2 linked regions of the Oryzias latipes genome follow. The protein of the gene in region 1 binds, or shares a complex with, the protein of each later gene. Links are inferred from orthologs where the notes say so. Each region holds a gene or a part of one and is shown on either strand. Other genes may lie near its edges.

Region 1 (4,506 bases):
TCCTAGTGTAAAAACAAAAACCTTTAGGGTGCTCCTCCTGTTTGTTTGGCTTCTCCTTTGTTAGCTCCTCCTCTGAACTAAAAAGGAAACAAATGATCTAAAAGTGTCACGCATTTAGCTTTAGTTTGAATTCAAAGAACGTAGAAAATCAAAAATGCAGACTTGTTCTTCTAAAAAGACCAAATAAAAACATGTTCTTTCTTTAATATGTATATGTGGTAAATACGCTGAGGAGCCCACCTGCTTTCATCTGACATATAATCCACCTCTAGACCCTCATAGTCTCCATCATCGCTGTCTTCCAGGGCATCCTTCTCATTGCTCTTTTGTTTCTTTTTCTTTGCTTTCCCTTTGGCTTTGTCTTTCTTTGCCTTTGCTTTGTTTTCTCCATCTGCAAACGAAGAAGAGACGGAAGCTGCAGGTGAGGAAAATGAGCTGACAGACGTTTGGAGGAAGGGGCTGAGCGCCCTGACAGTTCTGGAGCCTGCTGCATGGATCCTTACCATCTCCCATGCTGTTGTCGCTGTCGTCGCTGCTCATCTCCAGGTCTTCATCCAGATCATGAATTCGCAAATCTCCACCCTTCCCGCCCCCTTTCTTTTTCTTCTTTCCGGGTTTGTCGGCGTCATCGTCATCCTCCTCGCCCCGCTCCTGTTCCCGGAGGCGTCTCTGAAGCATGATGCTGAAGTGATTCACCACCTTGTTCCGCCTGGACAAAGAAGGAAATGACTTTTAAAACACAAAAGGCATTCTCCAAGTCCAGCTTGCTGCTCTGCTAACCTGCCCCACTCCTCCTCAGCTTCCTCTGCAGTCAGAGTTCGGTGCTTCGCCACCGGCGTGAAGTTGTACCAGCCGTGAACGGGGAAAGCCTCGAAGGCTCCATCAGGACACTGCGTAAAGATGTAGTAGGATGCATTTTCTGTCACGCCGCCCTTCTTTATACCTTTGAACCTGATGCAGAAAGACAAATATTATAGCCAGACTGAAGATTGTAGAACTGGAATCATAGGAGAATCTTGCTGCAATAAACATTTTAGGAAAAATAAAAAACACACCAACAGATTTTGTTAAAAATTGGTGAGGATTACACCAAATCTTACTCAGTACGAAGACGTATTTGCTCATTTTCTACAACGGTTAAATAAATATGGTTTATTGATTTTCTTTATTTGAAGAAAAAAAAGTCATAACTTCAAGAAAGCCTGCAGGTAAATTAAAAAAAAAAAATGTACTTAAGTTTCAAAAATAGAAACATTTATCGCTTTACCTTTTTCCTGCTTTTCCGTTGACCTTTAAAATCCACGGCTGATCCTCCACCTTGAACTCTCTGGTCACAATGCCATACTTCTTCCGCCGCGCTTCCTCGCGCTGCTTTTTGCCAAACTCGCTCCCTGCCCCTCCCTCTGGTAACTCCTCCTCGCCATATATTCGCCGAGCACTCAGGTCGCGTTCCATGCGAGCCTGGGGGAGTGACAAAGCAGGATATTTAACTTAATACCTTTTTTTTTTTTAGAACTTTTATCAAACAAGGGAAGTCCCATCGAGATTAGAAATCTCGTTTCCAAGGGAGACCTGGCCAAGAGGCACCACATTTCAATACAAAAAATACATTTAAAAAAACATCATTAGTACCACATATGTCATAAAACGCAGTTGCTTTATTAATCCGTACTCCCTTGTATTTTGTCACAAATTTCTGAATTCCTAAGGATGTTTTAAGAGATCTTATTGTTTTTAATTATAACCAAATTTAAAATATAGATTTACTTTACTGGAGCAAAAAAGAAGACATGAAGCCCACCTGTGTCCAGGCCGAACAGTTGACTTTGTCTCCAGAATTAAAAGCCATGATGTTGTACTTCTTGCTTGTATTTCTATGGGGCAAGAAAATAAATAAAAAAATAAAAAGAGTTGTTTTTGCAAGGCGGAGTCAAGTAACACGTTGACAAATTTAGGGCAGAATGATGCAAAACATTACTATTTCAAAGGATAACGGTGTCATTTCTGTGTTATGGTCAACATTACTAACACATTACTGCTTTCATTTACTCACTTGGGGACTCTCACTGTGTATTCTGTAGTCGAAGCACTGCTGCCCCCCTGGAAGATGGTAAACAAACAAACAAACAAACAAATAATGTGGAATTTCTATTAAAAAAAGGTTTTGCTATAAGATCAGCGACCTTCTGATTGAATGAGTTTTTGCCTGCATGCAACTCAGGCTTTACAATTAGTCTCCACTGATAAATTCGTGTAACATTGTCTTCTGTAGCGCAGATTAATAAAGTTTTCTTTCCTGCTGTAACCGGAAGCTGCCGGGCTAAAATAGCTTAAATGAAACGAAAACATTTTACATGTTAATAATAATAAAAATAATCATTAAAAAAAAGTCAGAACTTACCAGAGATGTCATGATTGTTTATCAACAACTTCTGGATTTGCCAACACTTCACTGGAGCTATTAAGGGTTTACAGAAAAAGAAAGGACATTTTAGCAGGTATTTCACTAATGTTTAGTGCAACATGATCATGTCGGCCATTTTCATAATGTGTAAAAATATGATTACGTTTATTACAAAACTAGTTTTATAGACGGGTTAGAAAAAAACAAATGTTCGAAAGCAAACAATCACCGAAAACTGGTTTTATTGTGAAAGAAAATAACAATGAATGCTGAGTCTCACCAACCCGGTCGTAGAGATTTCAATGGTTAGCTCTGATTAGATCATTAGATCTCCAGCACGATAAACGAGCTCATATGGTCGTTTTAGTCCAACTTCAGACCGAGTGAAGATGCATAAAAGGAAAATGAAATACAAAAATAGTGTTGTTGTTTTTTTTAAAAGAAAAAGCCCCGCATCTCCGAGAGTAAAACACTACTACTGGTGTACCGGTGAGGTGCGCGTTGTTGCAGCGTAATCGTTCCGTCACTTTTTACGGTCGACAGGAAACCTTGGCACGTCACAAATAGTTCCTATTGAAAATGCAGACAGTAACTGGAATGAAAGAAAAAAAAATCAAACTAATAAGTAAAAACAGACTTACCAACAAAGAAAAACATATAAATTAAATTTGTTTCCCTGAAATGTAGTTTAAAATTTATAAAAACTTTATTAAAAAAGTAAAACATTATTTAAAAAAGTAATTAAATTAATTGTTTCCTTTAAAAAATAATGATTAGGCTGTGAACACAGTGTTAAGAGCCGATTATGCTTGAGTGCACCTGAATGTAAGGAAAGGAAAGTGTAAATGCCATTCACAATTTTTACAATTTGACAATTAATCTGTGATCATGGCCGGCCCTCCCTATACGCGAATTACGCAGCCGCGTAGGGCCCCCACATCACCAGGGCCCCGAAGTGGCGAAAAAATAAAATAAAAAAAAGACCCAAATCTGGCAACCTATTTCATAGCTGTGAATGTTGTGCAAAAGAAAGTTGGCTGCACTTTAATGATCCCCCTTGTCAACAAACCTGAACCAATCTGGCAACCCAAATAATGACGTTACGCCACTCTCAGCAACGATTGGCCAACATCACTGCATCTGAGCCTGGCACAGTGTGCATTTACGAGCGCATTTTGTTTCAATAAAGTTGAGAAAAGAAAAAAAAATAGCTCATTTTGTCACGCTGATCAAAGCGACAACAAGAGCACTTCATGCCAAAGAGACTTTATCCATCAGGAGCTGAAAAAAGATGAACAACTTCAGCATCAATCACAAGGTAAGTTTGGAGGATGATGGGGCCATATTTTTTACATTATCCAGTATTTCTGTGCATTCGCGATTTAAAATACTAATTGATCCGAAGTTCGGTAAAGTTAGAAAGACAGGTGAAGTTTGCACATAAACGACCCCGTTTGTTGTAATTTCCAATGGAAAACTCTAAAATAATTCTGATACCCAAGTTTCCTGGATGAGGTCAGACAGGACCTTCCAAAACGGCGAAGAGAAGATTAAATAACGACAACGGTGATGGCTGATAAATGTTTAACTCACGTTATTGTATTGTTTAATTGTTTTGCTAACACATATTTAGTGCGTTCTGCATTTTCCGGTTTACGTCAGTATAGAAACTGCTGTTTATCTGTTATAGACAGTCTGGTAGTCTGACTTTTTCAACAATGTGTCTTAAAATCTTGCATTGGCATGGAATATGGAGAATCAAAACTGCCAAATACAAGTAGGAAATAAAGGTTCTAATTTATTAATGACAAATAAAATAAATGTACTCATTTTAAAATTATGAACATACAAAATAATAGAATAAGAAGTGTATAAATGCTTATATTTCCATTTATACTCAAATTATTATTCACATTTATTATTTATAAATAGGTACATTTCTTTCTCATTTGTATTTCGCAGTTTTGGTTCTACATAATGAGGATGTTTTGCACAGTTCCGTGTCAGCCAACATTTTCTTCTGCTCTCAAAAAGTATCAAAAAGTATTGGAGGAGGTGCAGCATCCACATCCCCTCATGTGGCATGTAAAGTAATTTAAAAA
Region 2 (4,481 bases), on another chromosome or scaffold:
TTTCTAGCTCAGTTCATGTTATTTTTCTTCATTTATTTGGACAGTTTGATCATGGGTTTTAATAAGCGGACAAAATTCTAAAGTATTTGTGCTAGAGTAACAAGCAAACATGTTTTCTATGCAACTGTAATTTTAAAAAGTTATAACAAATAAATAATGAGTTATTTAACATTAAGGAGTAGTTACATTTATTTTTCATTACATTTAGTTACATGTATAAGTTATATCTGGCCCTTTGAGGACAACCACTATGCTGAAGTGGCCCTCAGTGAAAATGAGTTTGACACCTCTGGGTTAAATCTCACTCCAACCATCTTTTGATCCAATTTTAAAGTGTTACCGCTGGTCTTTTTATTATGATTATGTCATTTTTAGCCAAAATCAAAAACCTGTGTCGTTTTCTAGGACATATGTTCTGCACATCGGCAGCAGCTCATGAGAAATTCATCTGGGTTGTTGGCGGGATTCTAGGCACGGAGTAAGCCCGCCCCCACTTCCCGTCACCAATCTGTTTACACTAGCCTACAGCCCCTCACAAGCCCAACCTAACATAAGTGGTGCAACTAAAACGGCGAGCTATCCAGCCGTACAGTTTTGAGCCAAATACCAGCTGGGATGAGGAAAACAGAGACGGACATGGATCTGTCTGCAAGTGAACGGAGCGGAGCAGGAACTGCAGTTTGAACGTGTGTGTGTGTGTGTGTGTGTGTGTGTGTGTCAGAGTCTCTGAATTCATCTTCACGTCCTTCCAAAATAAGGGGTAATTTAAAGGCAACACCCACCTGTATCTTTATTCATTAACTCATTGTAGTAGGCGAAGAAGGCTCTGAACTCAGCTGGTCTATGAGACAGGACTTTGAAGACATTGGGCAAAAAACCTCCCTGTGAGAAGCAAAACATAGAAAGAAAGATGTACATTTTCACAGTGTAAACCTTAATTTAAACGTCGAATTCGTTATTTGTGAGCGTTTACCTTTGCCTCAACCTCTTCCATAAGCTCCACTATGTCATAAGGGAGGTTTTTTCTGTAGGGAATCGGGTAACGACTTATTTTCTCCGGTGGACCGCCGCTGGAGGATTGTCTGGTCGCCGCTGATCCGCCAGATCTCCCCTGGAGTAAGAGGCTTGACGCGGGCGGAGCCTTAGTGGACACCGAAGGAATCAGCAACAAGCACGACTCAACAAACACCACACAAGACTTTTCAACTACTCACAGCTTGAGTTAGTAAGGACGACCGAAACAACAACTTGGAGACGAGTTTGCCTGCCATGTCACTCCACATCAATGCAGACCGCTTTTTTGTGGTTGGTTTACGCTTTTTAGTCGCCTCAAATACTCCAGGGCTTTCCTAAAATTATTTACTTTAAAAAATAAAAATCTCACACATTACTATCTACAGATATTATAATTCGAAAAAGCTACAGTTGAATGCCGTCCAAACATGAGCCTTGTTTGGGGTGATTTCCCGTCGCGTGTGGCCACACAGACGCTATTTAGCTTTGTGTTTGTCAGATCTTAAATCGGTTGAAATCATCCAATGAATAAGCTCCGCTGAGTGACGCCTGTTCTTTAGTACGCCCTGTTGCGTCGGCTCCTCCTCGCCAGTAGGGGGCAGCAGTCATGAGTGCTGAACATGGTCTGAGGTAACCTTTCTTAAAAATACAAATTCAAAGTTATAACCACACATTTGATTTTCACGATATACATTTTACATTCTGTGGGTTTTATATATTAACAATACAAGGGTGCCATTTCTTCTCTTTTAAAACAATGAAAGGGCAACTATCTCATGTGACCCGGAAGAGATCGTTTTGACACACCGATGCCTTCATGCTAGCTGTTTTAGCATAAGGGAAACACAATTTGGACAAAACAGTGCAAAACAATCAAAGAAAGAATCTACATCTATATACAACAATATGTTTTATCATGTAAGTACTTGAACTTTTCCACCCCTTATGAGAGTATTAATAGATATGAAGGGAGGTTTTCGTCTTCGGTTTTTGCGCGATAATGAGGCGGCTTCACACAACTTTTTTCAAATCCCTTTTACCAAATATATCAGCGAAGTTTTATCTTCCATTGTTTGGATCGGCTTGTAACAGCAATGTTATTTGGAAAGTTTTTCCTCTTAAGTTAGCACGATCATAACCACGCCATGATCATGATGTGTTTACAGATTTCTTTGGAACATGAAATCTTACTACATCCACGGTATTTTGGTCCAAATCTGCTCAACACAGTGAAACAGAAACTCTTCACGGAAGTGGAAGGTACCTGCACTGGCAAGTGAGTAACAGCTAATCATAAATAAGTGCATAAGTGTGATTACTTTGTAAGTTTCTAGTCTGTCCTGAAAATAACAAGCATTTGCATTCACTTTTCTGTAATGCTGGTTTGTATAAAAAAGCTTAGAACTGCATCCCTACAGTATTTCCTGCTTGTGTCCCTTCTCCCAGGTATGGTTTTGTCATTGCTGTCACTACTATTGACAACATTGGGGCAGGTGTGATCCAGCCAGGTAGAGGTTTTGTACTCTATCCAGTCAAGTACAAGGCCATTGTGTTCCGCCCATTCAAAGGAGAAGTGGTGGATGCTGTGGTCACGCAGGTTAACAAGGTAAGGACCCATAAGTACCTGTTGTAGGCCTTTCTAAGATGTTTGCCATGGAATAGATCCTTTTGTTGAACGCTTGTTTTTCACATGGAAAACGTAGATTCATGAATTGTTTTTCTGAATTCCAGTCTCTTTAAATACATTTTCTATCCTCCTTTAACAAAATTTGGGTTCTTTGCAGGTTGGCTTGTTCACAGAAATTGGTCCCATGTCCTGCTTCATTTCTCGCCATGTAAGTTTATGTAACATTTAACACTTTACTATATATATATCTTGACCTAATATGTAGGTATGTTTTTATATTATTGTTTGTGTATTTTATTGTTTTTTTATTCTCCCAGTCGATCCCTTCAGAAATGGAATTTGATCCCAACTCCAATCCACCTTGCTATAAAACAGTTGACGAGGTATGTGTCATTACTCTGTCTGTTTTATGCAATAGTAGATTTAGCATGCAGAGACATTGAAGGCTACTTTTCTCTTTCAGTTTTTAATCCTTGTGATACATTTGATTTTAATGAACATTTCTTATTGTGTTTATTAGGACATTGTAATCCAGCAAGATGATGAGATTCGACTGAAGATTGTGGGAACACGAGTGGACAAGAATGACATTGTAAGTTTTTTCCATAAATATTATTTTTGATCTTTTGACCAGTAGCGACACAGATCCATTAACATCTTCATTTTCCTTGACTGAGCTGCCAGGACTGGATAGCTCCAAAAATTCCTCGCACTATTGTCATCTTGGGGCTGTAAGCTAGTGGGAAAGAGTGTAGACGGAGGATTGATACGAAATTAGCGCAGGATTACTTTGCACCAATAGTCCCGCTGACAACTCAGAGGTGAATCTCTGATGAAGGTTCCTACCATTCGGCAGAAACTATGTCCCAGAGAACATCACAGTTTTTTGTTGTTTTTTTTGGCCAAAAGCAGCACAATCCTAATGAAAAGACCACTGGGAACAATTTAACAATAGATCAAAAGATGATTGGATTGGGACTTTAGGTCCATATGGATTCTTGTAATGTTCCTTTCTTTGACTTTCTGGTGTTTTTTCAAACCATTTAAAAGAAGAACAACAAGCTTAGTTTGAATACAGCAGGATCTGGTTTGACAGTTAGTCAAAAGCCTGATTACAATAAAAGCAACCTCACTAAAACATCTGCTTGTCGAAATACCCATGTAAAGAATTGTGCAAAACTATTCATTGAAACAAGTTTCCTCTTTGTTTTCTAGTTTGCCATCGGATCTCTGATGGATGATTATTTGGGTGAGTATTAAATGTCAAGTCAGAATTATTTTTTTTTTTTTTTCAATCAAACAACAACATAACTAGACGATGATGATCTTTATATAAAAAGAACACATACTTTAGAATCTAAAATATGTTTGGTTACTATTTTAAATTAAAATTTATTTTCATTCGTGTTGTATTATTTTTCTTAACTGTCATCAAATTCATTCAGTGCCAGCATTTGGAAATTCTAATATTCAAACATACGTACAACATTTTATACACTGAAGTTTAGGATTTAGTTTTACATGAAGGACCTTCTTAAAATGATCTTCAACTTCCTTTATCTCACAAAATAGATAACTTATTAATTCTTCCAAATATTCAGTGATTCTTTACCATAAACAGTACATTTTCAACGCAATTGATACCTCACAGTATACAATTGTCATTTGTTTTAGTACAGTTTTCAATGCAGTATTATGATTTAATGGTAACATTTGGTCAATAATATTTTCATATTTTTAAATCACAGTGATTATTATTTGAAAAGGTATTACTCAGAAAGTAAATCTGTCAGATTTCAGTTTGTAAATTGCATATAAATGGCATTAATAAGCAATAAAA

The links.
Region 2: gtf2f1 (region 1) and polr2g share a complex: the UniProt entries of both Homo sapiens proteins name them as parts of the TBP-based Pol II pre-initiation complex. The link is inferred for Oryzias latipes from reciprocal best matches to the Homo sapiens genes GTF2F1 and POLR2G.

The regions. Positions count from the first base shown.
Region 1 is NC_019866.2:14,106,126-14,110,631, reverse strand, and holds the start of gtf2f1 (general transcription factor IIF subunit 1), read right to left. Parts: upstream 2,952-4,506; 5' UTR 2,685-2,951; intron 2,459-2,684; 5' UTR 2,414-2,458; coding exon 2,402-2,413; intron 2,101-2,401; coding exon 2,054-2,100; intron 1,875-2,053; coding exon 1,802-1,874; intron 1,462-1,801; coding exon 1,268-1,461; intron 952-1,267; coding exon 781-951; intron 710-780; coding exon 504-709; intron 392-503; coding exon 241-391; intron 78-240; coding exon 22-77; intron 1-21. UniProt on the Homo sapiens protein: TFIIF is a general transcription initiation factor that binds to RNA polymerase II and helps to recruit it to the initiation complex in collaboration with TFIIB. It promotes transcription elongation.
Region 2 is NC_019868.2:13,737,590-13,742,070, reverse strand, and holds the start of polr2g (DNA-directed RNA polymerase II subunit RPB7), read left to right. Parts: upstream 1-1,681; 5' UTR 1,682-1,920; coding exon 1,921-1,932; intron 1,933-2,180; coding exon 2,181-2,290; intron 2,291-2,460; coding exon 2,461-2,620; intron 2,621-2,798; coding exon 2,799-2,849; intron 2,850-2,958; coding exon 2,959-3,024; intron 3,025-3,161; coding exon 3,162-3,233; intron 3,234-3,856; coding exon 3,857-3,890; intron 3,891-4,481. Other genes in the region: uncharacterized protein LOC101155778, read right to left, coding at 783-882, 974-1,141, 1,215-1,283. UniProt on the Homo sapiens protein: Core component of RNA polymerase II (Pol II), a DNA-dependent RNA polymerase which synthesizes mRNA precursors and many functional non-coding RNAs using the four ribonucleoside triphosphates as substrates.